Linked DNA regions of Rhinolophus ferrumequinum. The protein of the gene in region 4 interacts with the protein of the main gene of each other region in a pairwise test. Links are inferred from orthologs where the notes say so. Each region holds a gene or a part of one and is shown on either strand. Other genes may lie near its edges.

Region 1 (7,645 bases), on a different chromosome or scaffold from region 4:
AGTCCCCTCCCGACTCATGGGACTGCACTTTCGAGGGTGGTTATAAAAAGGCTGTGGCCTGTCTCGGGCGCTCTCTGTAGGACTGCTCACCCTGGGGGAAGCCAGCCATGGTGGGCAGCGTGGGGCACCCTCGCGTGGAAACCCATCCAACACCACCACGGTGGCCTCGTTTTGCACAGCCACCGAAAGCTGATAAACGTCTTCAGGCATGACACTTGGGGACATTTGTCATGCAGCCACAGGTAACTAACACAGCGTGCCGCCTGAGCTCGGTGTCAGCGGGCGACAAGGACGCCCCTTTTCCTGCACCCTGTTCACCAGCTGCCTGGACCCTGTCACGTTCTGGCTGACCTCCGGTGTGGCCCTCACCTCCCAGGCTCTCCCACTGCCTCTGTCCTCCTTGGTTTGTGTGCGGCCTTCGCCCCATGCCAGGTCAGCTGAGGGGTCAGTTCTGCCTTCCGGTCCGGACAGGGCAGCTCAGAACACTGCGTGACCCTGGGTCCACCATCCCCCACAGCCCCACGGCTGCCTGGGTCCCTACAGAGCTGCCAAAGGGTCCCCGACTTTAGATCCATTTAATACTCAATCCTGGGCACCAGTCTCCACCCTGGGTAAATATGTATTTGGCAACTGAGGGCTCACCAGGACGAAGGCCATGAAAGGCTTGTGAGCACCTGGGGCGCCAGCCGGCCCAAGAAGGGTGGGTGGCGTGGAGTCGGGCGGAGGTGGGTGCCCAGGCCCCTGAACAGGGGCAGCTGTGCCTAAGGATGGCGGGCCTCGTGGAGCCGCAAAGCAAAGACGTCCCACCTGGCAGGAGGCCACGGAGAAGGTGCTTTGGACAGCTGTCCCCTGTAAAGCGGGCGTGGGAGCCTGGCGCTGGGAGCTGGGCCAGGGGCCTGTGCTGGCATAGGATGTGTCCTGACGCCTGGGCCTCTGCGTGCTGATGGTGCGATAAAAGGCGCCAGGGAGCCCCATCGTACTGGGGCTGTGTTCCGGAAAGACGCTGGAGGCTGGCTCTCAGCGAGGCCTGAGATGGTGGGTGGCCTCTCGGCCTGGCTGGGCAGACCTCCCAGCTTATCAATGGCCCCCGACCCACTGCTAGCCCAACATTGGGGTGCAGTGCAGCCACCTGCCCCAGAGCTCAGGAATAGTGGTGGGCAGGGGTAGCGTGTGCCCACCCGGAGCCCCTGGGGACTCTGCTGCCCTCTCCGGGTGGCACCAGCCCCAGGCCTTGCTCACCTTGGAGGGGGCCCTGGGGGTTGAGGTAAGTCCTGGCCTGGACCGCAGCCACATGGACTCAGGGGCCAGGAAGGGGCCTGGCCCCTGGGCCACAGCCGTGCCTCTACCCCATCCCAAGCTCAGCGGCAGGTGGCCATTGGCTGCACTGGGTTGGGCCCCCAGGTCTGGCCCTGGGCTGGTCAGTGCTTATCCAGGACTCATGCCTCGGATTCCAGTGAGGACACCCTGCTCGGCCCTCGTGCTGCCCGGGGCCAAGGAGGCCTGGCAGGGGTTGTGTTCTTGGTCCAGCCCTGCCCTCTGGGAGCTGGGCAGGTGCGGACTCTGAGAGCTGGGGCCGCCCACCGGTCCAGATCTGCTCCTATGCAGTCCGGGTCCTGGGACTCAGGGCCTCAGAGCCTGACCCACAGTCCTCCAGAGAACTGCCAGCCAGAGAGTGACAAGCCTGGTCCCAGCAAGGGCCACTCGCCTGCAAAAGACAGTCCCCAAATTCCCTGGTACAAATATGAACCACACAGCCACCTTCACATCAGCAAAAGCCCGTCACAGACCCTAGAGCTGCTGCTGTTGGTTTGTGAGCAGAAGGCGGGACAGGGCATCACTGAGGAGGCCCCCCAGTCCTGGGGGGCCTGAGGGGGACCCCCAGCAGGGTCCCCTTGGCCTCCCTGGAGTGTTAGCCCACAGGGGGGACCCAGGGTCCCCAGGGGCAGCACCAAAGGGGCCCAGTTCCTGCTCCTGGCTGGCGTGTGATGACCAACCAGCCTCCCTGTGGCTCATCTGTGAAGTCAGCGTGGCCACCACCTGTCCGGGACGTTGGCTGTCTGACCTTAGTATGGCGGGATAAAATCACGACACACAGCTCCGAAGCCACGTCCGTGAGATGTGATTATAAAGGGGAGATGCCATGGTCTTGGGTGGAAAGAGCACAGCTGGTTTTTAACCTAATATTCATATATGTACATTCTATTTACTTACATCGAGGCACAGCAGAAAGTTTGTAGGGAGCGCACCAAAGTGTCAGCAGTGGTCATGGTAGACGAGGGCCAGCCCTGCTGGTGTTCTTCACACCCACCTGACAGTGGGCGGCCAGGGGTCTGCCTCCCACCACCCGCTCACTGCCAACCCCTTTGGTAAGCGTCTACTTCCCAGAGATGGTGCCGCCGACTGCCAGCTTTCAGGAGAGCTCTCAAATGGAGCTGGGGATTGTCGCAGATTTCAGCTCATGGGCTCCTCTCAGCCACATTTCATTCCAGAAGGAAAAGCCTCTTTTGTCAGCTCCCCGTGCTGACCTGTGCTGACCTGACGAGGCATCACAAGTGTCCCTCCCCTTCTGGGGAGAAAGGACAGGGGTGGCTGGTCTACCGTGAGCTGCAGCCTTTGGTCTTCGGAGGAGGCTACAGAAACAGCTCACCTGAGTGTGTGCTGTGGGCAAGGCCTGCTCCATAGCCAGAGCCAAGCTAATCTGCTCAGGACCTCCTGGCCCCCACGCCTGTTCCTGGGGACTTGAAGGGGCCTGGTGCCTGGGGGCAGGGGCACCTGCCTACCTGGTTTGGCCCTGCAGCTACCCCAGGCTCCCTGAACCTGTGATAGCCTGGGACCTGGACAGGCTTCTCCAGACACTGCCTTCCCAGCCCAGGGCCAGACGGTGTCCTCAGCGGCCAAAGGACCTGGTCCTCAGTCACCCCCCTGGTGGCGTGTGTATGGAAGATGCATGCCCTTGCACACGCACACAGACACACGTGCACACGCTCACATGTGTCAGGCACACACCTCGGCAGACCTGCTCCGAGGTGGTCCTCCCCAGCTGCCTGGCAGTGTCTCCACCACCATACGCTGTTGGACGTCGGGAAGTCCATCCCCCGATGTCCCTGGCCTTCCCGTGGCTGAAAGAGCCTCATGGTTGCGCTGCCTGTTCTACTCGGGACATCTGAGATGTCCCTGCAAGCAGAGCAGGACGGAAAACCGGAGTGGGCAGGGGGTCTCCAGGTGGAGACCAGTGGGGGGTGCCGCTCCAACACCCGCCCTGCTCTCAGGCCCCAGGGCCTCCAGATCACTGGCCTCTGACCTGGTGCTTGCCCGGGGCACAGACAACACCTCTGATCCCTTGGCTGTCTGGGGACGTGCTTGTGGTTCCCGCACCATGTCCCCCAACCCTCTCTGGCCCAGACCGCTCGTCATTCCATGTCTTCTCTTGGCCTTCGTTCGCTGCCCTGTCACTCTTGCCAAGGATGGGGGCATCTCATCCTCTGCCAACTCCTAACATTTGTGGTTTCCCCCACACATTGATCCTTTGCCCTGGCCAGCTGGGAAGACCCCACACTCCCTGCCCCTGCCCCATGGCCAGCCATACCTACCCCCGGGACATAATTGTTCCCTATATCATACCGGCTCCCTGCACCTGCCCACCGCTGGCTCTCACCCCCGCTTTCCAATACCTGCCCCAAGGCCATTGTCCTTGCTGGGAATACTTCCCCAAGACCCTCACCACCACCTCCTTTCCTTTGTTCAGTCCACGTGTTGCCCCCAGACAAAAGCCTCCCATCACCCGAGACCTGGTCCGTGCCTTTGCTGTTGTAGCCTCAGTGCCCAGTACCGACTTGCTCCTGGTCAGAGCTCACGGACTGTTCAGGGGATGGTGGGTTCCCTCTCTGCTCCTGTCCCCAGGGTGGTCAGAGCCTGGGAAGGGAACGTGTCAGTTCCTCTGTGTCCTCTATGTGGGGTGGGAAGCCCCTCCTGTCATGTCTCCCACTGGAAAAGATGAGACAAGCTCCCTGCTCCCCTTCATGTGATGATTTGTTTTCTGAAATGCTGTCTCTGTTCCCTTTGCCTGCATTCTCCTTCCTGAGAATGGTGTAAGCATTTAAGATGCCATTAGAATTCACAACACGCTAACCTATAGTCACTACAAGGACTCCACTGGTGGTCTCTCAAGTTCCAGGGGGCCTTCTGATGCCTAGGAGGTCAGGGGAGGGACTTGTGTGGTGCTCACAGCTGTCCATGGGGGGCAGAGGGTGGCCTTCCAATGTGTTTGGAGGCCTGGTGTTCAGTTGTGCTGTCTTGAGCCTTCCCTGCCTCTTGTGCTTTGCCACCTTCCTTCCTGCAGGTGAGCAAAGGCTAAGGGGAGGCCAGGGCAGGGGATGGTTGGGTAGTGCTGTGGGAAGGTGGGCCTGGGCATCTGGGACCTGCCGTGAAGGGGAGGTAGGGTTTGGTTCTTAATCAAATGCAATAATGTATTAAAAACAATACACAGTGATCAAATGGGCTTTGTCATTGGAATGCAAGCCTGGTTATTAAAGGAGAAAATGTGATCTCCTCGCTTGATGTGGAAAAAGCTTTTAATAAATTTCAAAACCTATTTGTGACTTTACAAACAGCTCTTGGCAAACTAGCAATGGGCGGGAAGATCACTAACGTGCTCAAGTTCCAGAGAAACCTCAAAGTGAACTTTACACTAAGTGGAGAAGCGGTGGTGCGTTGTCTTCAGGAGCTGAATCAGGTCAGGGCCGCCCCCACATCATGGCTACTGCCTGACACCGTATCGGAGGTCCTGGCCAACAGGTAAGGGAAGAAAACTAAAGGAGGGGCGTAAGGCTTGTAAGAGGAGAGAGAAAAAAACTGATGTTACTTGCCAAAAGATATGATCATCTGCCTAGAAAAACCGATAGAATTGATGGGCAAACTGTTAGAATAAGAGTCCAATAACATTGCTGAATAACAGACCAACCTGCAAAAATCAATAGTATTATCTTGAAGACATTGTGCTGAGCAAAATAAACCAGACACAGAAGGACAAACACTGTGATCCCACGTAAAAAAGGCATATAAGAGGAGTCAAACATAAAGACAGAAAGTATCTGGTGGTGCCAGGGGCTGCGGAGGAGGATGAGTGGGTGTTTAATGGGGACAGGTCCAGTTTGGGAGGATGAGAAATTCCAGAGGTGATGTTTGCACAACAGCGTGAAAGCCACTTAATGTCACTGAACTGTACTTAGAAATAGTTTAAATGGTAAATTTTATGTTATATTTCTCAATGAAACATCAATAGTATTGTAAGGATGCCGCACAAAGGTCATATATTGTATGAATCCATTTATACGAAATATCCACGACAGGTAAATCCACAGAAACGGAAAGCAGGTTGGTGGGTGCCGGAGGGCTGGGGGTGGGGGCAGGGACTGACTACATAATGCAGACGGGCTTTTTTTGGGGGTGATGAAAAGGTTCTGGAACCAGATACAGGTGGTGGTTGCACAACATTGTGCATGTATAAAGGCCACTGGAACGTAGTTTAAATGGTTGATTTTATGCCATGTGAATTTCACCTCAATTTTAAAAAATGAAAACAAAATTAATAGTCTTGCTTGATACCCACAATAAACAATTAGAAAAAAATAATTCACGACAGCAAGGGACACAATGAAGTGTGTAGGATTTAACTCAAGCGAGAAGCCACCCAGACTGTGTCGGGGAGCTGTGGAGGCTGACCATGTTCCCGGGGGGGATGGAGGTGGGGGCTGTGTACTACACAGCGACCAGTTCTCCCCCGTTAACCCGTGAGGTCCGTGTGATCCTATTCAACATGACCGTTAGAGCTTTTCAGGAACTAGATAGACTTCCTCTAGAATTTAGGAAAGAAAAAGTCGTGAATAACTAAGTGAGCCTTAAAAAGAAGTGTGTGTGTGGCGGTGGGGTGGGGGGAGCTAGCTGTCCAGATATCAGGGCCTCATAGCTCATAGCAAAGCTCCACAGCTACACAGAGCAAGCAGGTCTGGGAAAACGCCTTGATGGCCAGGGGAGCGGGAGGCGTAGGCACAGACTTTTCCATTCGAGCGTATTTGATGTACAATGACAGCACCAACCAAGTGACCAGGATTGGACCAGGCTCCTGATATGGAGCCACCCATGGGCCTGGTGGCCTGGTAGTTGGCAGGGAAGGAGACCCCAAACAAACCCTGCAACACACAGACCACCTGGCAAAAAATGGTGCATTTGATGGTGTCAAAAACAGGGCTTCCCGGCCCACGGCCATGACAGGACCTGAGAAGACAGCTGCCCTTTCCTTACCTGTGGTGCTGCTTCCCGGGGTTTCAGCTACACGTGGCCAGCTGTGGTCTGACCGTCTGGGTCCCCAACCAGCGACACCATCTGCTCCTGACACCTAGCCCACATCGTCACGGCTCGGCCACCCAGGGTCACCGGAGCAGAAGGCCAACAGAGAACGATGCCCGCGTCACTCACCTCACACATCAAACAGGCCCCGCGTCACCTCACATCATCACCAGCAGGCTGAGTGCAGCACAGTGAGACGTTTTGAGTGACAGGGACAAAAGGACCGTTACCCAGTGTGTGGGGAGCAAGGAGGGCGGCGCAGGGTTAAGAAAAGATCGTAGCCATGAATAGAGTGTAAGCGGGACCAAGGGACTCCAGCCTCAAGGACTGAGGCCTATACAGTACCTTTATTAGTTAGGTGGGGAAGTAAAGGAGATAAAGCTTGTCAATCTCAAGATCTGTGAATCCCACACATCATAATAGGAAACTGATTCAAGCCAATCACCGTTGCCTGCAGGCAGCTGGACCATAAGTCTCAGGATGTCTGTACTTCCCCGAGGGACAAAACCTTTATGCATATGAATAGATGGAGAGCACACCATTGAATCTCTTCCCCTGCAGGTTGTGGGAAGGAATGCAGCCACAGAGGCAGAGGCTCTCCTTAGCGAGGGGGGGTGCTGTGCCCACCTCTATCCACCCCATGGATTCTCCTGTGGGTCCCCACGGGCCTCCACCTGTCTTAGGTTGCCTTCCACGTGGTAAGTCATACCCGTCATTGGCTGACCAGCATCTTTCTGGGGCCAAACAGGGAGATACAAAGTACAAGCACAAAGGTGAAGCAAAGTCCCTGAAAGGATCCGTCTCACAGACTTTCCTTGCTTTAGGGGCAGGTACGAGGAGACAGACGGGTAGGCTGCTGCTTGGCAACAACTCAGGATATACAAGGAGTTCTGCCACTTAGCAGGAAGAGGACAGAAACTCCAAAACAAAGTGAGGAAACGAGCAAAGGCCGTGAACAAGAACGTTCCGGAAGAGGAGCCCCTGAGCCCGAGGGCCTCGGATGGGTCATGGCCAAAGCCGTCAGCAGCTACAGAAGTGCATGGATCACAGGACAGGCCCGTCCCCACCAGAGCACAGAGCATGTAGGCCGGGCGCGGATGGTGCCACTGGGCTGGGGACATGGACTGCCAGGCTGGGGACGTCCCGTACAGCCGTGCGTGGGGCCACAGGGGTCCTGGCCTGCAGCCTTGCCCTGGTTTGGCCTGTGTCCTGTTTGTCACTCACCTCTGTGACACCATGCAAGTGGGTACCCACTGCCACACGTGTTCCCAGCGTGAGCCTGGGCAAGAGACCCTCCCAC
Region 2 (7,390 bases), on a different chromosome or scaffold from region 4:
GGATGAAGTTTTAGACAGCGGCACCAGGTGGATAATCTAAGTCCAAATCCTGGCTTTGCCACTAAGTGACCTTGGTTATTACTTAACCACTCTGCACCTTACTTTCATCTTCTGCAACGAGACTGATAGTTACCTAGCTCATAGGGTTGTTGAATGATTAAATCATTTGACATATACAAAGTACCTACAACAGTGGCCAGTGCCTAGAAAATGCTCCTGAAGCGTTAGCTGTAATTATGACGACAGTGCCTATCCCGGCATATACAAGGCACTCAGCCAATGTTAATTGTTATCTTGCCTTGGAATTTTTTGCCAAATTATGTAAAACTTGAGATGACACTGGATTCCACAAGTAACTGTAGTTCAATAGAAGCTTGTTCTATATTGTTATAATGTTGCTTTTTTAAAAAATGTGTACCTTTGAGATGTTGTCATGATTCAACCACCCAAGAGTAGAATTTTAAACCAATCAGTCTAGAACTTCCTGATCAACACTAGTGAGGAATGAAGTGCTCCATCTCTAGACCTGGACCATAAACACTTCCTTTGACTCTGTGGAGCGGACTCCAAGATGGAGTCTGGGACCCTAAATGATTGTGTGGAACAATGCCCTTCCCACCAACTTGCATTGTACTGTAACATTGTGAAAAATAACAAACACAGCTAGTACTTTTTGAAGTCCGAGCTGCCACCCCAGTGGAACTGCTTTGGAAGTCTTACTCCTCAAACCTTTGGAATGTTAAAACTGGGCAAAATAACCTTTGTACTGAGCCTAAAGCAGCACTGCATTCCAAACAACTGTTTGCAAAGCTATCAAGAAAGCAGACATGACTGCCAGACTGAACATTCTTTAGAATTAGCATCACTGTTAGCTTATCCGCACCTATAGAAATTCCCTTTTCATGCAGTTAGTTGTTCCCCTTCCCTTTCTCATAAATACCTTTCCTTCACCTAATTGAACACTATGTGGGTTTTTATCTGAAGCAGTGTAGAGTAGCTTTGTGGATGAAAAAAGGGGTTCTATTAAAAGTAACCTCACAGTGATCTAATCATAAATTCCTAACTGGGCAGGCCATAGTGAGTAGTCATGTCTGAGGCATGTATCTTCTTTAGTAGAAGGTTAATCTTTAAACAAGCCCAGTCCATTGTTTCTATGCATCTAGGTAGGTACACATCTTTGAAATGCCTCTCTTCAGACCCCCCCCCTTCTAAAGTGGACCACCCTCAAGAGAGCAGTCTTAACTATCTTGTAATCCAAAGCTTGCTTTCTCCCACCTTATGTAATCTTCCTCAGTTCCCACCTTAATCTCAAATGCCTAAAAGGAACTGCAAACTAACCATGTGGGGAACATTTGAGATCTTGCTCCCAAGTGTACGTCATCAATTTGGCTCTAATAAAACACTTACAAAAATTCTCTACAGGTTTGGTTGTTTCTTACATCAAGAGCTTCAACAGCTACAGCTATTCTTTTGGATCTCATTTCCTTGTTGCTTCTCAAAAAAAAAAAAAAAAAGTAAGTGTAAATCCATGGCTTTGTATCAGCATCAATTACCTATGGAGTCAACCTAAATTCAGTGTGAAAATTAAAGCCTTGTTTCCCAGAATTTGCTGCAGGTTACTTGAGAAAAAGCAAAAAAGTATAAACTAGAGAACCCTAAAACCATCTTAAATCACTAAATAAAAATTAACCATTTATTTGTATATTTTTATTTGGAAATGTTTGTATCAGTACAGTGGAACTAAATTTTAAGAGACACTAGATGTCATTACTTTGGATATTATTAGTTTATTACAAAAGAGACATGGAAATTATTTACATGATGAGATTTCAGAACTTCAGTGGAATGGGCAGCTTCACGTGATGCCATGTCAGTAGTGATTTATTTCAGTCTACATACTTTCCAAGAATGTCACCATCTCTAAACAAGAAATAGTCCTGCAAATAGAGAAACCGTTAGTTAAGAATAAAGACAAAAGCAAATACTTAACTTTTTTTTAAAACTATTAAGTTTACACACCTTGTCATCTATAACTACTTTGGTGCCTCCATATTCTGGAAGAAGAACTTTATCTCCAACTTTCACGCTAACTGGTTGAATCTCTCCGCCCTTAAGAAATTAAGAATATTTATTAGCAAAGACATCTAGTTCACCAAATATTTACAGCTAACTTCTATTAATCAAATGTACTCACTCAAATCAACTGTTAAAGAACTTGGTAGTGTTATAATTTATACAATTGTAGTTCTTAACTCAAAAATATCACTGTAGAGTTACATTTTGAAATAATGCCTACACAGTGGCTTAAACTGAAACCTGATTTCAGTGTAAAAGTTCAAGGAGTTATACTGGGAAAGCTAACTTAAGCCAAGTTAACTTAAGCTAATTTTTTAATGGTTAAATATTAACATAACCTATGGACTATGTAAAATAAACTAGTTTTTAAAACCATGTGTACATGGTCATGGTTAACTTCAGCATACAAATTTTTTTTTTCAAATTTCCTGAATTTGAAACATACTTCTTTGGAGATTCCATTTCCTTTCCTCCAAAATACAGATTTGGGGAGAGGGATGGAAGCACTGTGCCCAATCCCCAAAAGCTTTCTATTTTTGATTCCAGGATAGCTCCTTTCTAGAAGTTTCTCTGAGGCACCTGGAGCAATTAACATATTTGACCCCAACATTTTATTGTGTATTCTGCCTGACACTTTGAGGTCTGAGATCTAACCAGTTAATTGGAAAGTATATGGGAGGGTAGTCCAACCAGTTCCTTTCATAGGTATGCCAAGCAAGGTGAAAGTAGTTAAAAGACTAGCACAATCTCAGAGTTAGAAGTTAGACCAAGAATTCAAATTTCCCCTCAATTCTTAAAAGCCGCCACAATTATCTTCAAGCATAAATTGTAGTTTTAATATCCTCGAATTCTCTATCATATAAAATAAGCAATTTTACAATCATTTTCATTAAAGAGACAATTAGACGTGATTGAACTAGGGAATGATCGTGAAAATAAAATAAGCTACTTAAAAAGCTATTTTTAATAATAACCAATAATTATTTTTCTGTCCATTTCACATAAAAAATAGTTCATTTTAGCCCCCATTTACCTTTCCTTTAGAGCCGGATCCAACAGCTACTACTGTTGCTTGCAATACTTTTCCTTGAGATTTTTCTGGAAGCATAATGCCTCCCTTGGTTACAGTTTCTGCAGCACTCCTTTCAACTAATACTCGGTCAAAGAGGGGGAGAAACTTTCTAAATGCCTGTCCTGCCTGTAGAGAGAGAAATGTTTGATTTGAAACAAAAAGAATATGCGATTATATTCTGAACAGGCAATGCCATCGTAAATTACGCTATCAAACACCGCATGTGGCTTTCCAAGATAACGGCCCAACTCAATTACTCGTTCACGAAACCCACTGAACGTTCTGAACTTTCTGCTCTATATTCCAAGTCAATTTCCAATTCCCTATGTGTGTTAAGGGTCATTGTTACTCCTCTGGTCAGCAGCCAGACGAGCTTTACAGTCAACCTTAGCTTATTCCAAGGTCACGTATTTTCCTTCCTTAGGTTTTTCTGAAAATGTTCAGCACACACTGAGGTCAATCTCTCCGCCTAAAGCCATGCTTTCTTTACATTACACAGGCCCTGCAGGAACAGCGGGTCCGCCACCGCGCGTGCATCTGGGTTCCCGCCCCCTAGCCTACACGCCCGCCGCACACGCGCGTGCAAAGAACCCTCGGCAGAGGAAAAGGTCGACAGGACCTGGCTTCTCCAGGGTTCGAGCGGATACCGACCCCTGGGTGACCCCCTATCCCTCCTACTAGGCCCAACGCGAACTGTCTCAGGCCGATCCATCCGGGCACGCCAGGCACCAGCCCACGCGGACTCACCATGACTCCGGCAGCAGCAGTTCGTACTCTGCTCTCGCGCCGCGGCCGCAAGGAGAGACCTGCAGTCCGGTTTTCGAGACACGTGAACTTTAGAAAAGGCTGCCCAGGGCGCAGGCGCGCTCGCTCCAGCCACCCGCCCCTCCCCTTAAAAGAGGGCGGCCGCCGCGGCCCGCGCCGCGATTCGTCCCCGGGGGCTCTGCGCAGGCCACTGACGCAACGACCGGGAGACGGAAGAAAAGAGGAGCTCTTTCTAGGCTTTTCTAGGCCGCCTGCGGAGGTGAAAGTACTAGCCCTTCGCCTCCTCCCGGAAATGACGCTATTTGACCCTTGACCCACAGAGAGTGCGTCGCTCCCCGGAAAGTTCTGGAACCGAGCGTAGCCCGGGAACTAGCTTAAGCCGGCTCGAGAGGGCTGAGCCCGCTGGCCCGGCCCGGCGCGGGGAGGGAGGGGCGGAGCTGGCGCGCAGCGCGTGCTGATTGCCGGGCCGGGCCTGGGAAAGAGGTGGGAGGCGCCCGCACACGCTGTGCCGCGGGGCGGGGGAGCGGCGGAGGGAGGGGACACAAGCTCATTGCCGTGTGCGCCCTGTACTCTGTCCCTCACTCGCCGCCGACGGCTTTCCTTGCCGCTCGCACGTCGTGCTGCTGCCCCGCAGGTATGCGGCCTCCCCGCATCATGTCACCCAGGCGCCTCGGACCCGGCGCCGGCCTTCCCCCGCTGCGGTCCTGCCTGAGTGGGCCGGCGGGATAGAGCCCGAGTTTCCCGCCAGTGCCGGAGGCCATGGCCCGCTGGCCCAGGCCTCGCGGATCCATGCGGGAGCCCGTCACGTGCGGCAGGGATCGCTCGCCGGGGCAGGGCGTAGGAGGGAGGGCTTGCTCAGGAGTGTGTGTGGAATTTGGGGAGTGTATTCACATGGGCCCTCCGATGCAGCCCACTCCTGGCCGGCTGCAGAGATTCGGGGAAGGTAGTCCCAGCCGCGTGGAGACTGCCTTTGGCCCAGCGGGGTTCGGCCCCTCCACCCTTGACCTTGCTCGGGGCGTCTCGATGAAAAGACACGTGGGGCCCCGGCCGCCAGCATCGGGGCCTGGCGGACTGCTCAGATACAGTAACCCCGACTGGATACATGAAGACACATTTTACTCAGCAGATTTTTGCACCGTCAGGAATGTTTTTACTCCACCGGCCACCGTTTTTATGACCTGCCCCTTTCTTGCAGGCTTTTCTCAGGGGCACGTTTGGAATGGGTTTGCTCTGAAGGCCCTTTTAGCGGTAAAAGATTAACTTGTTTAGAGAGGCAGGGGTAGGTGGCCAGGAGCAAGAAGGTGGGTGTGCCTTTTGCCAGTGCGGTAGGTCAGGCGTGGGGGCAGCCCTTGCAAGCTTGCGCTGGTACTTGGTGGTCTGTAGTTGGGGCGCCTTCTGTGGCCCAGGTTTGGTGGGTGGCAGAGGCCAACCTAGCTCACGGCTAACATTTCTTGTTCTGTTGCACAGGTGTTGTAACCTGCTTCGGGTAATGCTACTATTGTACTGATGATAAATGCTTGTTTCTCCTCCTCCCCAGAAATGCTTCGATTACACGAAGTCCTTCGCCAGATTAGGCCAGTGTCCAGGGCACTGGCACCTCATCTCACTCGGGCGTATGCCAAAGATGTAAAGTTTGGTGCAGATGCCCGAGCCTTAATGCTTCAAGGTGTGGACCTTTTAGCCGATGCTGTAGCCGTTACTATGGGGCCAAAGGTATCAGTATTGTTATTGTTGTAATTTATAATAGTACTCTAATTAGGGAATAACTTACTGATGGCAAATAGTCACACTGAACTATAGAACAGTACGTGGGTATCCTTTTTTGAGAGAATCCAATTTACATGTGAGTTCCACATTATGGGTTAATCTTTTTTTCTTTTGCGTATATATAATGGCCTTAAAACTTAAACTTCTGCCAAATTTGTGAGATTTTATACAATGTGTCGTAGAATCCAGTGGTAACTCATAACTCAAGGTGGATCCTTAAACTCAAGGTAGAATTAATCTTGCTTGCCTACTTGAGTTAACTTTTGGATTCTTCTCCAGTCCGTTAGTACCAAGCATAGAGGGAAGAATATAATTTATCTCCTATAATATCTCAGGAGGTGCTAGTTTTACCAGTGTTTTTCTGCTGTCCCTTCTGTTCCAAAGCACATTTAAAATTTTAAGTCTCATTTAACATGAAGAGATTGGTGAGTTGAAAGGTAATAATTTGAGGAAGACAAAGGTTGTGCACATTTCAGATATCAAAGTGATCCAAATTGTATAAAATGTGGCATTTGCATGCCTCCCAAATAGCTACTTGGTTTCAAATCCAAAAGCTGCCAATACTCTGCACCATGTTTGAGATTTAATGTCGAACAACCCTGGAAGAGAGTACTGTGCTTGCATTGCTGTTAGTATTTTAATAAGTATATTTCAAAGCAAGTTTAAAAGTAAGTGTTCGCATTAATTTCAAAATAGCTGACACTGGATAAAACTTAACTAGAAATTATGTGAAGAATAAGCTGGAATTTCATTATAATCTACCAAATTGGTATTGTTTTATCTGTATTCTTGTTTCATAAAATGTCATCTTTTAGTCTCTAGGTTTTTTTATCTCACATAATTCTTCATCCAGAGTTGTGCCCTTCGCAATAGAGAGGTCATTTTTTCTGTAAACTTAGAACATCAGTGAACTTGCCCTTGAGATTCATGCTGCAGATCTGATTTAAAAAAAAAAAAATCATGTTGAGGCTTTCAAGTAATTACCCTATTATTAAAACTGCTCTTTCTGTTTTAAGCTAACTAGTACTTTGAGTGTGTGATTCTGTCACATTTTTTTTTCTCTGAAATTGTAGGGAAGAACAGTGATTATTGAACAGAGTTGGGGGAGTCCCAAAGTTACAAAAGATGGTGTGACCGTTGCAAAGTCGATTGACTTAAAAGATAAATATAAAAATATTGGCGCTAAACTTGTTCAGGATGTTGCCAATAATACAAATGAAGAGGCTGGGGATGGCACCACAACTGCTACTGTACTGGCACGCTCTATTGCCAAGGAAGGCTTTGAGAAGATTAGTAAAGGTGCTAATCCAGTGGAAATCAGGAGAGGTAGGAATGTCTTTTCATTGTCCCCCCAGTGTTTTGAACTGTCTATTAAATTATATTAGAAAGTTGATTCTTCCCTTAAAAATTCTTAACGTTGAGTATTGCTTCAGCATATAATGATTGAATACCTGGCTACATATGTTGTTAAGGAGAGAAAAGTGACTAAGACATTCCCTGTTGCCAGTCCCCCCCAACTCCTCTAGACCCTCCCCCTGAAAGCCAACAGTTTATTGGAAGATACAGCATATACTGTGTATCTTGAAAATAGGAAACTTGTGGGGATTAAAGCAGAAAGATTATATGGTTTTGATGTTTTATGTTTTACTTTAGTTATTCGGAAAGTAGGGCTTAACAAGAAACTAAGTCATCCAAGGATGTCAACCGGTT
Region 3 (6,947 bases), on a different chromosome or scaffold from region 4:
GGGTAAGGCTTTTTCCTGGCCCAGGGGCCCAGCCTAGGCCAACAATTTTCCTAATGCTATCACCTCCTCCCCTGGGGTTGGGGAGACACCCTCGCCCCCCACCTGAGTGTTCTGGAAGTAGTGCCGCCACAGAGGTCGAATCTTGTCCTGGCCTCCCACGTCCCAGACTGTGAAACAGATGTTCTTGTATTCCACTGTTTCCACATTGAAGCCTGAAGATAATTGGAAAAAAATATGAGGAAAAAGTCGTGATTGGAAGGAACTCACTAAACTACAGTGCATTCAGCAGGGACACAAATCAGAAGGCAATGATCAAGGTCTAAGGGAAGAGAAGTCCAGAAGACTGGCAGTCAACTGGCAGGGCGGGGCTAGGTCACATCCACCCCTCCTCACACCATCCAGCAGGTAAAGATAATGTGACCCACTTCTCAGGTAGCTGTATCTGGTGTCAGGTCCCAGCACGGAGACGCAGAATGAGGAGGAGACCCTGAGCTGGCCGCCACGCTCCAGCTCCTCCCAATCTCACCTCCTCTGACTCACCTATGGTGGGGATGGTGGTGACAATCTCCCCCAACTTCAATTTGTACAGGATTGTGGTCTTGCCAGCTGCATCCAAGCCAACTGCAAAGAAGAGGGGCATAGGGATGGAGATGGGAGCGAGGGAGCCCCCTAGAGACCAGGGAAGGGGAGAGGCCAGGACAGCTGACGGTGACAGGGGCGGAGAGCCCGAGAGCTTCCAGGTGCGCGCTGTTATCTACCTTCCGGGCCTTAAGGGCAGTCCGGGTGATGAGCGCCAACTGCTGCCCCTGAAGCGGGCGAGGACTGGGGGTGTAAGGGGTACAGGAGGAGGACCGCGCTCCTTTTAAAAGTGGCCTCCAAGGGCGGAATCCTCCCTTCTTACCATCCGGGCTGGGGCGGAGGGAGCGTCACCCCACCCAGGCCCGCAGCTCCCGGTTTCAGGCCCCGGGAGCGGCGCTGCAGACTGTGACCCGCCCGAGAGCAGTGGCCCCAGGGGTTTAGAAGGTGGGTGACTCAGAGTCAGAAAGCGGGGTGAGCTGGCCTGGAGGGACGCGGGGGCGGGAGGGCTGCGCGGGGGCCGGCGCTCCCGTCCGGGCCGCGCGCTTGATCTGCCTCACCCATAAGGATCCGCATCTGCTTCTTCCCGAAGATCCGCGAAAAGAGCGCGGACACGGTGAGGCCCATGGCGGGGCCCGGGGAGGGGGCACGGACACGGACACCGGGTGCAGGCTGGAACCGGCCGGCCGCGGGGGGATGGGGCGCAGCAGCAGTGGGAGGTGCCGCCACCGCCTCCGCGCGTCGCGGCCCGCCCTACGTCACGGCGGGCCCGCCCCCATCGCGCTCCGCTCCTAGCTCCGCCCCCCGCCCCGCCCCGCGCCTCGGGCTCCGGGAGAAGCCGAAGCTGAGCGAATCTCCGCAGCCTGGCTGGGTCCCGCGCCGGTTTTAAAGAGGGAAAGGGCCAGGGTCTCCCCGTTTCTAGCACGCCTGGCACATCTGTGGCTGTTGAACCGGCAGTCAGAGGGGGGCGGAGGAAAGCCTTCAGTGCTCCGCAGCGGCCCCCACCCCCATGTTCCGTGGCCCGCCGCAGGGCTTTGGTTTGTTGCGTCCAGCTCACTCTGGTCTCCGGTTTAGTTCTTTCTAACTGGCAGCCTCGACTGTGTGCACCACCCTCTTAGAGGTGCGTAAGCTCCGTGCAGTCGTCTTAAGACCTCCCTTTTGCCCCCGCAGCTCCCAGTGAGGGAGGGGCTTGGAGCACAGTAGGTGGTTCAGGAACCGTAGACTCGCCCGGGTGTGCAAGGAAGCAAAGCTTTTCAGTCTGGACCCAGACAGCCTTTCTGAAGTCCTTCCTCTCTTTGCCACAGACCTGGCAGCCTGCATTATTAATGCACACCTATCCAGGATGTGAGGATGTGGTTGCCTCCTTAGGCCCGAAGAGCTTCTCCAGTAATTTCCCCATTCATCTTAGCGTTGGAGGGGAAAGAGCCAGATTGGAATTCATTTAAGTATCTTCTATGGCAAAAACTGGATCATGCCAGGCTTATGCTTAACAAATGCTTGTTAGGTTGAACTGGACTGGTAGGTTGCTCAGTGGAGCGTGGACAGGTGTTTTGCCTGTTCTGGAGCCAAGTTGCTTATGGACTGGACATGGTGAGGTGAGCTGGGAAGCAGAGAACCTTCATTCACTCAGTCAACAAATATTGAATGCCTACTGTATGCCATTGTTCCAGGCCTCCGTTCAAATCTCAGTTCTGCCTTTTTTTGAAGGCTTGCCTTCAACAATCCTCTCAAGCTGTCATTTTCTTATCTATAAAAAGAGACTGATATTTGTCCTATCTCATGAGGTTATGGTAAAGATTAAAATGATGAGATACTGTATCTGAATGTTTTGTATAAAACAGCTGGATGTTTCCTGGGCCACTAAGAAACTGGGTCTGAACAGAGCTCCAGGGCCTGCCCCATCCAGACCTGCAAGTCTGTAAAGAGAACAGACTTTGGGCATCAGGTATGAGTGCATGACTTTACTCTTCAATCACACTTGCATTCCTAGGATGACTTTTACAAGGTCGAAGAATACATTTAAAAGAGTCCCAATATAATAACACAACTAGCGATGAACAAGTCAGGTCAGTTCTACATCTTCAGCTCTTTTATTAGCCTCTTTCTTTCTATCACTGTTGTCACCGCCATATTTCAGTACCATCTCTTCTCCATGACTGCAACAGTCTCCTCACAGTTCTCCTGCCCCTTGCTATTGCCACCCTGGCATACAAGTCTTGATGACACCACTCTTGTGATTAAAATCCTTTAGTGTCTTCTTATCACCAAAGATAAAATCTAATGCCTTAATTTGGATCCCTACCTCCTAGGCCAGCCCCGTCTGTTGCCACCTCCTTCACATACCCTAAACTACTGCCTCGAGATGCTTCTCAATGCTTTCCAGGTGAGCCAGCCTCCCTGATGCCACAGGAGTCCTCGTAATCTTTTCCCTCTGCCTGGAATGCTTGTTTCCCTGATCTCTAGTTAGATGGGTAGTCACTACTCATCCTTCACATCCCAAAGTATTTTCTCTGAGAGCCTTCTCTGCCTCCCCTAGACAGGACTTCCTCCACATCACTTTGAATATACTTATGCATACCGGTACGATGGCAGGACTTGTGTTTGCATGCCTGGTTCTTCACTAGATGGGAACTCCGTGAGGGCAGGACCTTGTCTCATCATAGTGATCACCTGGCACAGCATTTGGTATGTTGAGAGTTGGATTGATCTGGATAGCATCCCTAAACTTAGCTGTGCGACCTTGGGCATGTTACTTACGTCTCTGTGCTTCATGTTTCCATATCTGTAAAACAGTGCTGACAATACCCACTGAGCAGAATTATTGTAATGACTACATACCAAAACTCTTGCAAAGCTCCTGGAATATAGTTGGCACTAAAGACCGACGTCCTGGCCATACGGATGCCCTTTACAAACATTTGTTGCATTAACTCAGCAGAACTCAGGAAGGGTGCTAATAATTATTATACTATACGCCTTCCAGGTGCCAAACACTGTACTAGCAAGGGTTGCAGTGTTCGTGGTTTGAATGAGAGTCTTAATTGTTGCTCTTTAGGGACAAAGGTACTGAGCTCCCAAATAGTGGAGACACGTCGCGAGCTGTTCAGTAAGGACTCAGTGCGACGTCGCCCCCTGTCCCTCGCTGATCGTAGCCTGAAGGCAAGCTCGGGTGAACCTCACGAAATCAACATCACTCGCGTCCTTAGCTTGGCTTGTGCTGCTCTTCCCGGGGAGAGAAAGCCTCGCCAGGTTCCCCACAGGCCGCGGCCGAGCACTCCCCGGCTGGGGTGGCCCCGCGCTCCTCTGGCCACTGGGGCGGAGCCTGCGGCGTCTTGCTGTCGTCACTTCCAGCGGACCCGGAAGCGCCCTTGTCGGGCCGCTGTAGTTCGGAAGTCGCGAAGGGGCTGCGCTCCGCTTAAACCCCTGGCGGACAGTGGGCCGAGGTCCCGCAGGGGCTGCTGTGGCCGGCGCGGGCGGGAGCGCGGGGCAGCTTCTGGGACAGGGCGGGGGCGCCCTGGCTGTGTGCTCCCCTCTTGCCCGCGTCACCCCGCCTCTAGGTGGGAACCGCCCCCGCCTTCCGTACCCCGGACCCGGTGGCGCTTCTGCCCGCTGCCCCGCCTCCCCGCGTCGGTCTCGGACAACTGGGAGGAGCGGGTGTGCGGCCGCGGGGACCACAACGCCCGCCAGCGTCCCCGCGACCGTCTCCCGGGCTGCCCCAACGCTGACGTGGAACCACCCGTTCTGAATCCTCATGGAGAAGTTTGGAATGAATTTCGGGGGTGGCCCCAGCAAAAAGGACCTGCTGGAGACCATTGAGACGCAGAAGAAGCAGCTCTTCCAGTACCAGGCACGTCTCAAGGATGTGGTTCGCGCCTATAAAAGCTTACTGAAAGAGAAAGAGGCGCTAGAGGCCAGCATCAAGGTGCTGTCAGTATCCCAAGAGGCGGATGTGGGCCTGGCAGATGGCCCGCCTCCAGGCCTCACCTGTCCTGACAACGTGGATGACCGATGCTCCACTCACAGCGAGGATAGCACTGGGACCGCCACTAGCTTGGATACTGTCGCCAGTCTCACTAGCACCAAGGGTGAGTTTGGGGTAGAAGATGACCGACTGGCCCGTGGACCACCACCTCCAAAGTCGGAAGAGGCCAGCGGGTCGGAGAGTGGTGTTAGCAGTAGCAGTGGGGATGGACCGTCTGCAGGTGGGGAGGTGGACAAACGATTGCACCAGCTGAAGACTCAGTTGGCTACTTTGACCAGCGCTTTGGCTACAGTCACCCAGGAGAAGTCCCGCATGGAAGCTTCTTACCTGGCTGACAAGAAGAAGATGAAACAGGACTTAGAGGATGCCAGTAAAAAGGCAGAGGAAGAGAGGGGCCGTCTGGAGGGAGAATTGAAGGGGCTGCAGGAGCAGATAGCGGAAACCAAAGCCCGACTTATCACACAGCAGCACGATCGGGCCCAGGAGCAGAGTGACCATGCCTTGATGCTGCGTGAGCTTCAGAAACTGCTGCAGGAGGAGAGGACCCAGCGCCAAGACTTGGAGCTTCGGTTGGAAGAGACCCGAGAAGCCCTGGCAGGGCGGGCATACGCAGCTGGTCAGATGGAAGGGTTTGAACTGCAGACCCGACAGCTGACCCGTGAGGTGGAGGAGCTCAAAGGTCAGCTGCAGGCTCTCCAGGATGAGAAGAATCAGCCAGACCCCCGGCTGCAGCAGCTGCAGGAAGAAGCTGCCTGCCTTAAGAGCCATTTCCAGGCTCAGTTGCAGCAGGAAATGAGGAAGGTAATTATCTCCATCTCCTTCAAAAAGTCATTTAAACCTGAAATGGGAAATATTTGTTTTTCCGCCTTTGATAGATCTCAGTGGCTGCACTGTCAATTTTTGATGCAAAATGTTTTATTGGTGAGTTGGAAATTCTGTTCTATGTGGTGTTGACAGTATCCACAGAGCATGTTTCCAACAGGATGTAGAGTTTCTAAGTGTAGGCTGGGTTGGAGCCAGACAGATCTAGCATTGGCATCTTACCCGCTGTGCTCTGCGAAGCAGTACTGTGGCAGACATGCAGTGAAAAGGTCGTGTGTCTGACTGGAGCTGTATGCCTATGTGTAGGTAGTGGTATATGCCTATAGGAAGGATGGCTGAAGGGGGAAAAGGGAGTTTTCTCAGAGGAAATGACCTTTTGTAACGGCTTTCAGCCAAGATTTTGCCAACTCTGGAAAGGTATTCTATTTTTATAGTGCCTCCATTCAGTGTGGAGAGAGGTCCAACTCAGTTTTGATCTTCCAGGAATATTGGAAGAGATGATTCCATAATAAGATTTGGGGAAACACATGATAAATGAAGAAAGCACTCTTTATACGTGAGTTTGGTGTATGATAGGAGACAATGGAAGTACGAAACCAGAATAGGAGCAGGTATGCAGAGGTTCTTAATTGTTTGGTATAACATGTGTCTGTGAGCAGAACGCAAGCAAGTTACAGGAACTTTTGTTAGCTCCCAGATCAACCAAAAAATCCCCAGTTCCCGTTCTTGCCAGGCCATCCCCATTCTGTGACTCTTTGGCTGTCCTCTCTGGTGCTCTCAAAGTTTGCCATAGCGCTTTGTGGCGTTTCTGGATGCATTTCCATCTGTTTCCTTGTTTTACAGGCAGCCCTCGCAGAGGATCAACGACGTCAGCAATCTCAGCTGGAAGAGCAGAGGGTGGCAGCCCTGGAGAACCAAATATCTGAGGTGTCGGAACTGCTGGGCACATATGAGAAAGCCAAGCAGAAGGACCAGCTGGCCATCCAGAAGCTGAAGGAGCGCATCATGCAGCTGGACCTGGAGAACAAGACGCTGGCTCTCGCAGCCTCCAGCCGGTCCCCTCTAGACAGCCATGGAGAGGAGTCCAGTCTGGACGTCAATGTCCTGAAGGACAAGATGGAGAAGCTGAAGAGGCTACTGCAGGTGGCGACCAGGAAAAGCCAGGTGACCTTGGATGTGGAGAAGCTCTGCGACCTGGAGATAATGCCCAGCTCTGAGGCCGCTGACGGGGAGAAGGCTACCGTGCTCTACTACCAACAGGAGCTGAAACAGCTGAAGGAAGAGTTTGAGAGGTACAAGGTGAGGGCCCAGGTCGTCCTCAAGAGCAAGAACAGCAAAGACGGCAACCTGGCCAAGGAGCTGGAGGAAGCCCAGGAACAGCTTGCAGAGCTCAAGGAGAAGTATATTTCCCTGCGTCTGTCCTGCGAGGAGCTTGAGCGCCAACACCAGCAGGAGGCCGAGGACTGGAAGCAGGAGCTGGCCCGGCTACAGCATCACCACCGGCAGGAGCTGGAGCGGAGCCAGCTGGAATTCAGGGACCGCACGCTGAAACTGGAGGAGGAACTGC
Region 4 (7,179 bases):
CCAGAGCCTGGCACATTTTAAGGGTTCAATTAATACAACTACTGTTATTCTGTATAGATTCTTGAGCATTTGTTATTATTTCTCTGAGCTTTTTGTTTAATGTTCTTCTTGAGCATTTGTTATTATTTCTTTGACCTTTTTGTTTAATGTTCTTCACATGAGAAAATGGCTACTGAAGATGAATGCCCCCTGTATAAACCTGACTCAAATTTAATAGTGCGATTCAACACTGCATTGAGCATCAACTATGTGCCAGAGACTATGCTAGGTGATGGAAAAAGTAAGATATGATCCATGTCCCCAGGAGTTCAAATTCTCATGTGGGACGCAGAAACAAATTATTAGTGTAAAAAAGGAGCCTAAGTCTAAAAGACTTGTGAGTTGAAGAATCTTAAAGAATTCATCACCCAATGTCATTCATATTTGACATACTCCTTGTGGTGGGAAGAAACCTGATAGTTCTATACCCAGGAGAAAATTTGAGAATCAGTTTAGAAGTTTAGAAATGAAAAGATCTGTTTAATTGCTAATGAAAGCTAAAATCTATACTGAGAAGGCCAAGCACAGAGGAAAGCAGTAAGCCGAAATGAAGAGTGGCTTTGGATCACAGCTTACGAGGTGTGATCAAAGAATATGGTGAATGTTTAAATAAAATTTATTACAGTAAAAGACACATTGCCATTAATCCCCCTCAAAATACTCCCTTCACTTCGAACACACTTATCGCATTGTTCTTGACACTTTCTGAAGCAGTTCTGGAAGTCCTCTATCATGAGTGTCCTTAGTTGCGCTGTCGTGGCTGCCTTGATGTCCTGAATCAATTCAAAACATTTACCTTTCATGGTCATTTTGACTTTGGGGAAGAGCCAGAAGTTGCATGGTGCCAGTTCTGGTGAATGAGGTGGATGAGGACACACCGTAATGTTTTTATTTGACAGAAGTTGCTGTACCAGAAGCAATGTGTGACACGAAGCGTTGTCATGATGGAGGATGATTTACGGCACACTTTGAAACACACCTTCTCTCAACCATAGCTCACACCCAACAGACTGCATTAAACAAGTTGAAACTTGTCACACTGTTACTAAGATTCGATGTGCCACTTTCCGTATTGAAGATCCCTGCCTTTCCGTTGGATGGCACTCAGCAGCAGCATTCACTGTATTTTTTGATCACACCTCATTAATCTCATTTCCTCAGAAAGGCCTCCTCCACACACCCCTGTTCTCTTCCTGCATAGCGCTTGTCACAATTATATGCTTATTTGTGTTTGTTTCACATTTCTCTTCTCAACTAGACTGTAAACTCCATGAGGGCAGGAACAACATCTGGTTTACTCACCACTGTAAACTCAGCATCTAGTTCAATCCCTAGTACATAACAGGCACTTTATAAATTTCTTGTAAATGAGTGGATGTTAAATAAGTGTTTAGAACCATCACAATCCTGATAAGTGGATGAGGCCCATACAAAACTTTTAAGACCAGTGCAGCAGGATGCTGAGCTGAAGACTGAACTTGTGTACAGAGTCTTTCCCTTCTCTAGCAAAGAGAGGTGCTGGACAGTCATAAGATGGTGGTCCCTAAGATGAGAATTCCTTTAGAGGACAGTTGTCTAGAGCTTCCTCCCCTCTACTTGCTACACCCAAAATCCAGGAGCAATGAGAGGAAGGGTCTAGTGTTAGGAAATAGAAAGTATTCAGCCTTCTCATGCTTGAAGATCATGAAGGATACTGGTTATCCATCTAGCATCCATTGTCCTCTCGCCCCTTACTGGACTGTTTTACTTAAGTAGACATGCCTCCACCTTCCAACTCATGTGATTCAAGGAGCATCCACCCCAGTGCCAATTCCCAATTATGGTAACCCCTTTTCCCTTTTGGAACTCAGGATATGTTTGTATGGGGCAGATCAAACTCACAGTGGGCCCTGTTGCCTAGGTAAGGCTGAGTATGGGCCTGAAAGTAAGAGCTGTGACGGAGGCCTTCTTGTGGGAGATGCCTTGGCTGATTCCTGCCGTGGGAGATCCCTGTTGGCCATTGTGGGAACTGCATCGCCACTGACGTGCGTCATTTGACCAGTTGGAAAATACAAGTTGTCAACAGCGACACCATGTGGTTATAAAATGCAACGTCAATGGTGGGCAGATGAGACGCCTGGTATATGGACGTTAGATTTTCCCTTAGGAATTTTTGGATCACTTAATCCCCTACGAGTTTTTAAAAATGCTGGGCAGGGACCCTATTTGTATATCCTCAACTTGTTGAACTGAAAAATAGAGCTGATTGAATTGATTTCCTTTTGTAGAAAAAACAAAGCAGTGATCATATTTGTAGACTGTTTGAACAGTTTTTACCTATATATCAGGATGCAAGAAAATTAGGCTTGAAGACACCCAAACAAAAACCTTTCCATTTTATGCGCCCTTTGAAAACTTGCCTATAGTTCCCTATTACCTCCTGGATAAAATCCCAGCTTAGCACACTTCCTAAGGCTTTCCTCCTCTGCCTCTCCAATGATGCAACACATTCAGCTTTCTTTTTTTCCTTTTTTTTTAAAAAAGATTTTATTGGGGAAGGGGAACAGGACTTTATTGGGGAACAGTGTGCACTTCCAGGCCTTTTTTTCCAAGTCAAGTTGTTGTCCTTTCAATCTTAGTTGTGGAGGGTGCCATTCAGCTTCAGGTTGTTGTCCTTTCAGTCTTAGTTGTGGAGGGCGCAGCTCAGCTCCAGGTCCAATTGCAGTTTTTTCTAGTTGCAGGGGGCACAGCCCACCATCCCTTGCGGGAGTCGAACCAGCAACCTTGTGGTTGAGAGGATGCGCTCCAATCAACTGAGCCATCTGGGAGGCAGCTCAGCTCAAGGTGCCATGTTCAATCTTAGTTGCAGGGGGTGGAGCCCACCATCCCTTGCGTGACTCGAGTTGTTGAACCAGCAACCTTGTGGTTGAGAGCCCACTGGCCCATGTGGGAATCCAACAGGCAGCCTTAGGAGTTAGGAGCATGGAGCTCTAACCACCTGAGCCACCCGGCTGGCCCCACATTCAGCTTTCTTAGTTATTATATTTGTAAATGCTTTGGGAGTTAGATTTTTGGGGAGGGCAGATATGAGCTGTATCAAAGGGGCCCAGGCTTAATTATAATACTGTCACGCAGGGCGGCCTGCGTGGCCTCAGCTCCCGCTTCCCACATAAGAATGCAGGATGTGGCTAGGCCAAAACGGAACACCCACGGAGCCATAGGTAAGGGAGTCATACCACTATAGTCTCACTGGAGGCTGGATTCACATGACGTGCGACCTGCTGTCCGCTTTTCCACCTGCCAACCGATCCCTTGCTAGCTGCAATCCGCCGTGCTAACTGCAATCTGTGCCAGCCACCATCTTCTTGCCCCCATCTTTTGTTAGGGTAGCCACAGCAGTTATATTAGTGGCCAATGGCTCACTGGTTACAGCTGATGGCCAACTAGCCACAGCTGATGGCCATCCAATCACAGTTGATGGCCATTTACTACCTGAGCCAGCACCTTTCCACGTGAGGCCGAGAGCCTGGAAACTGCACTTCTGGCTCTGTCCCCACAGCACCCTTTTCTAATCATACCACACTGTATCTTAATTTCAAAGTGTATACCCTTCTCCCTAACTAGACTTTGATCATATCGTCAACCACCTCTGCATTTTTGGAGCCCGATGTAGGCTTGACACTGCATAGATTGGGAAAATGCTGAATGGAAGAATAAAATGTCATCAACAAACCCTTATTGGGGTCCTCCAAATGCCAGGCGCTGCAGTGCTCTGCTAGGTCTGGAACTTACAGAACAGGCTGACCTGTCCTGCAGCAAGAGCTCGCAGTCACCTCCTGTGTATTTGTGTGGAGGGCAGCCTGCGCTGGCCAGGAGGCCCGGGCCTCTCTCCCCTCACCTCCTCAAAAGTGTATTTCTGAATTCTTCTGCCAGTTGATGCTCCAGCCAAGTGATATGAACTCCTGCGAGGCCAGAGCTTGTAACAAGTGTGCTAGGAGTACGCAGACGCAGACGGCAAACCAGGCACAGCATCTTGCGTCATCGTTAATAGTGAGCCCCGCCCCCAACAGCGGAGCCAACCAGAGGGCGCGGGGCTGACCCAGCCTCCCCGGGCGGCCGGTGAAAAATCCCGGCGTTCGGCGGCGGAGCAGAGGGCGGTTCTTTGACGAGCTCGGGCTGGATAGGCCTGGCTCCCACACCGCGGTAACGGTCGCGGAGGCGGGGCAAAGGCGGTGGAGCCGGCGGGGCTGGGCGCGCTGCTGCTGGGGGGAGGCGGCTGAAGAAGGTGAGTGGCGCTCCAGGTTCACAGAGGCATCGCTCAGAGCCCCTACCTGAAGCATCCCCGGAATTGGCTTCACCTGGGCCATGCGAGTGGTCAAACTGACCCTTGTCGGGGACTCCAGAGAGGAACCGCTTGGGACGGGTTCGCTTCCAGTCTTACGATTGGGGACCTGACAAACCTGGTTCCAGTCCTGGCTCTCCGCCCTTTGTGATCTTTGGCTTCTCATGTAATGTCTCAGCGCCTCAGTTTCTTCATTTATGTAATACAGCTGGTAATTCTTGCCTTGCATGGTGGTGGAGAAGGTTAAGTGGGACAATAAATGTAAAGCTTAGAATGATACATGGTGTAGACTGGATTCTGGATAAATTGTAGGTAATTACTCGATCCGCGAGAGTTGGTCAGGTCTGACCCGCCCCACTTTTCTGAGTCAAGGAGTCTGAGAAGGTTGCTTGGCGAGTGAAGACTTGGAGCAAAAGCGGGGAGGGTATATGCAAAGGGGTAGGTGAGTATTCTTTCTCCGGTTTATTAGGCTCATTCCGGAGGCTTCTGACTTTATGCAGTCTAATTTGATTCTATTAAGAAAATCGATAAGGTGTAAATGTTGGAGGACTGAGAGACCCGTAACATAGAGACCAATCCGAAAGGGTTTCTACTACCACTTTATGTTCTAACTGTAATAATATTAAACACGGTGCAGATATTAACCCATATTGGTTTCAATTCTCTACATGAGTTGTTTTTTTACTTTCAGTATTGCTTAGTAGACCCCGGCCTACCCCACCCCAACTTGGGGAAGAGGTGGCTTACTAAAGCTTTGCCTCAGCTTCTGCTTCAAAGCGGGGAGAGGAGAATTCTGTCCCTTTATGTAACTTCTGGGGCAGAATGATTTGGTCGAGATGATATCCAGTCCTAACTCCATTCCTTTATCTGTGGTAGACTCAATTCTTTTTAGGAACATGAGTCTTCTTATTAAACAGCATGTTAATACATTTTTGGAATAGAGCTTTTGTATTTAATTCACAGAGACTTTGAAAACATTGCCTATACCATTTATTGCCATAATGGGAAATGCTTTTGAGAAAGCTAATTACAGATTTTAATGTGAGTCACTTCAAAAAGAATAGTTACTTGCTGTGGGGACAGAGCCAGTAGTGCAGTTTCCAGGCTCTTGGCCTCACGTGGAAAGGTGCTGGTTTGGGTAGTAAATGGCCATCAACTGTGATTGGATGGCCATCAACTGTAACCAGTGAGCCATTGGCCACTAATATAACTGCCGTGGCTATGCTAGCAGCAGATGGTGGCTGAGCTAGCAAGCGCGGATTGCAGCTAGCAAGTGGGGTTTGTTGGTTGGCAGAGAAGCGGACCGCAGGTTGCAGATCGTGTGGATCCTGTTTCCTGTGTGTCCAACCCAGCTGCCAGCGAGAATATAGTGATATGACTCCCCTATCTATGGCTCTGTTGGTGTTCCTTCTTGGCCTCACCATATCCTGCGTTCTTATGCAGGGAGCGGGATCAGAGACCCCATATGACACCACGTGTGACACTTGCCATGGTTTATTTCCAGCTTTCCTGCCCAAAAAGTGGTGAAAAAAATTACATTCTAACGAAGGGTACAGTTAAAGGGACTTCAGACCTGTAAAGAGCAAGTTACCAAAGGGCTCTTGGGGAACCTGCACAGTGCTGGAAGATATAGCTGTGTTTTGCTTCTTTGCACTTGGTTTTTTATGCTATGTACAAACCAACTCCTACCCTGCAACTCCCATTCCCACAGTCTTACTTTAGGTATGACACTCCTTAAAGCTAGATTCTATTTTGGCCTTGGTAAGCTTTTGGTCTCTTCTGATGACTCAAAGTTCCAGCTGTGTCCTGTCACAGTCTGAGTGGGAAAGGCTGCTAGATACTATTGGCGCATTAATTTTACAGCATGGTCCTCTAAAAGGGAGGACTTGGTCACAGGTAGAATTGAGGAGATAGTTTTCTTCCTGCCTTTGCCTTTTGTGTTCAGTGGTATTTGTTTCTCTGAGAGTGCTGCTTTTCAGTACCCTTGCAAATAAGAATATTCTACCTTTGAAGCCAGAAGTCAGAATTGATGTTAGATGATGATAGATTTAGACTGCCGGCAGGGAGAGGAAAGTTATGGGGAAAGGAGAAGAGAGAAGGCACATGGTGTTGAGCATTGGAGTCCATTAGCTTCAGTTGGTCCAGCTTCAGATCAGTGTTTACTAGTACCACGGAGGCCTGCTCTAGGAATAACACAAGACCATTCTTACTATGAGGTTGAACATTTTAAGATTGTGGTCTATTTATTTTTTTTGAAACCTAGATGAAGATCCAGTTTCAGACCTGAGACTTACTGGGTGATCATTTAATTGAGATCAACTGGAATGACCAGGTAAAAAGTGCAAGAGGAATGTGCTATGACTGAGGTATGTCTAATGTGATGGATGACTCTCTCTAGATGTTGGGAGGCCATGGAAAGGATTTATTATTTATTGACCACTATACTAGGTACATTACATGTATTTCCTTTTGACCTCTTGGTAATCCTCTCAAATAGATATTTTGATTTCAGTTAAAGAAACTGAAGCCAGAGCAGCCAGTTGACTCAGTTGGTTAGAGCGCAGCGCTCATAACACCAAGGTCGTCGGTTCGATTCCCACATGGGCCAGTGAGTTGCGCCCTCCACAACTAGATTGAAAACAATGACTTGACTTGCAGTTGAGCTGTGCCTCCCACAACTAGACTGAAAACAGTGACTTGACTTGGATCTGATGCATCCTGGAAAAACATACTGTTCCCCAATATTCCCCAATTAAAAAAAAAAAAATGAAGCCCAGAGAGGTTAAGGAACTATTTAAGATAATAAAGATTGCTGGTCA

Evidence for each region.
Region 1: the proteins of CEP70 (region 4) and TTLL10 interact in binary tests that used the Homo sapiens proteins (3 or more experiments, as listed by UniProt). The two-hybrid records come from large-scale screens. The link is inferred for Rhinolophus ferrumequinum from reciprocal best matches to the Homo sapiens genes CEP70 and TTLL10.
Region 2: the proteins of CEP70 (region 4) and HSPD1 interact in binary tests that used the Homo sapiens proteins (3 or more experiments, as listed by UniProt). The two-hybrid records come from large-scale screens. The link is inferred for Rhinolophus ferrumequinum from reciprocal best matches to the Homo sapiens genes CEP70 and HSPD1.
Region 3: the proteins of CEP70 (region 4) and GCC1 interact in binary tests that used the Homo sapiens proteins (3 or more experiments, as listed by UniProt). The two-hybrid records come from large-scale screens. The link is inferred for Rhinolophus ferrumequinum from reciprocal best matches to the Homo sapiens genes CEP70 and GCC1.

What each region holds. Positions count from the first base shown.
Region 1 is NC_046292.1:316,962-324,606, forward strand, and holds the start of TTLL10 (inactive polyglycylase TTLL10), read left to right. Parts: upstream 1-4,627; coding exon 4,628-4,794; intron 4,795-7,645. UniProt on the Homo sapiens protein: Inactive polyglycylase.
Region 2 is NC_046291.1:33,113,012-33,120,401, forward strand, and holds the start of HSPD1 (60 kDa heat shock protein, mitochondrial), read left to right. Parts: upstream 1-4,389; 5' UTR 4,390-4,547; intron 4,548-5,450; 5' UTR 5,451-5,452; coding exon 5,453-5,626; intron 5,627-6,753; coding exon 6,754-7,006; intron 7,007-7,390. Other genes in the region: MOB4 (MOB-like protein phocein), read right to left, coding at 1,892-1,937, 2,020-2,109, 3,110-3,274, 3,896-3,898. UniProt on the Homo sapiens protein: Chaperonin implicated in mitochondrial protein import and macromolecular assembly. Together with Hsp10, facilitates the correct folding of imported proteins.
Region 3 is NC_046309.1:18,181,457-18,188,403, forward strand, and holds the start of GCC1 (GRIP and coiled-coil domain-containing protein 1), read left to right. Parts: upstream 1-3,938; 5' UTR 3,939-4,327; coding exon 4,328-5,359; intron 5,360-6,223; coding exon 6,224-6,947. Other genes in the region: ARF5 (ADP-ribosylation factor 5), read right to left, coding at 103-212, 541-621, 1,137-1,203. UniProt on the Homo sapiens protein: Probably involved in maintaining Golgi structure.
Region 4 is NC_046300.1:37,673,584-37,680,762, reverse strand, and holds the start of CEP70 (centrosomal protein of 70 kDa), read left to right. Parts: upstream 1-4,172; 5' UTR 4,173-4,303; intron 4,304-4,313; exon of another isoform or gene 4,314-4,571; intron 4,572-6,623; 5' UTR 6,624-6,692; exon of another isoform or gene 6,693-6,726; intron 6,727-7,179.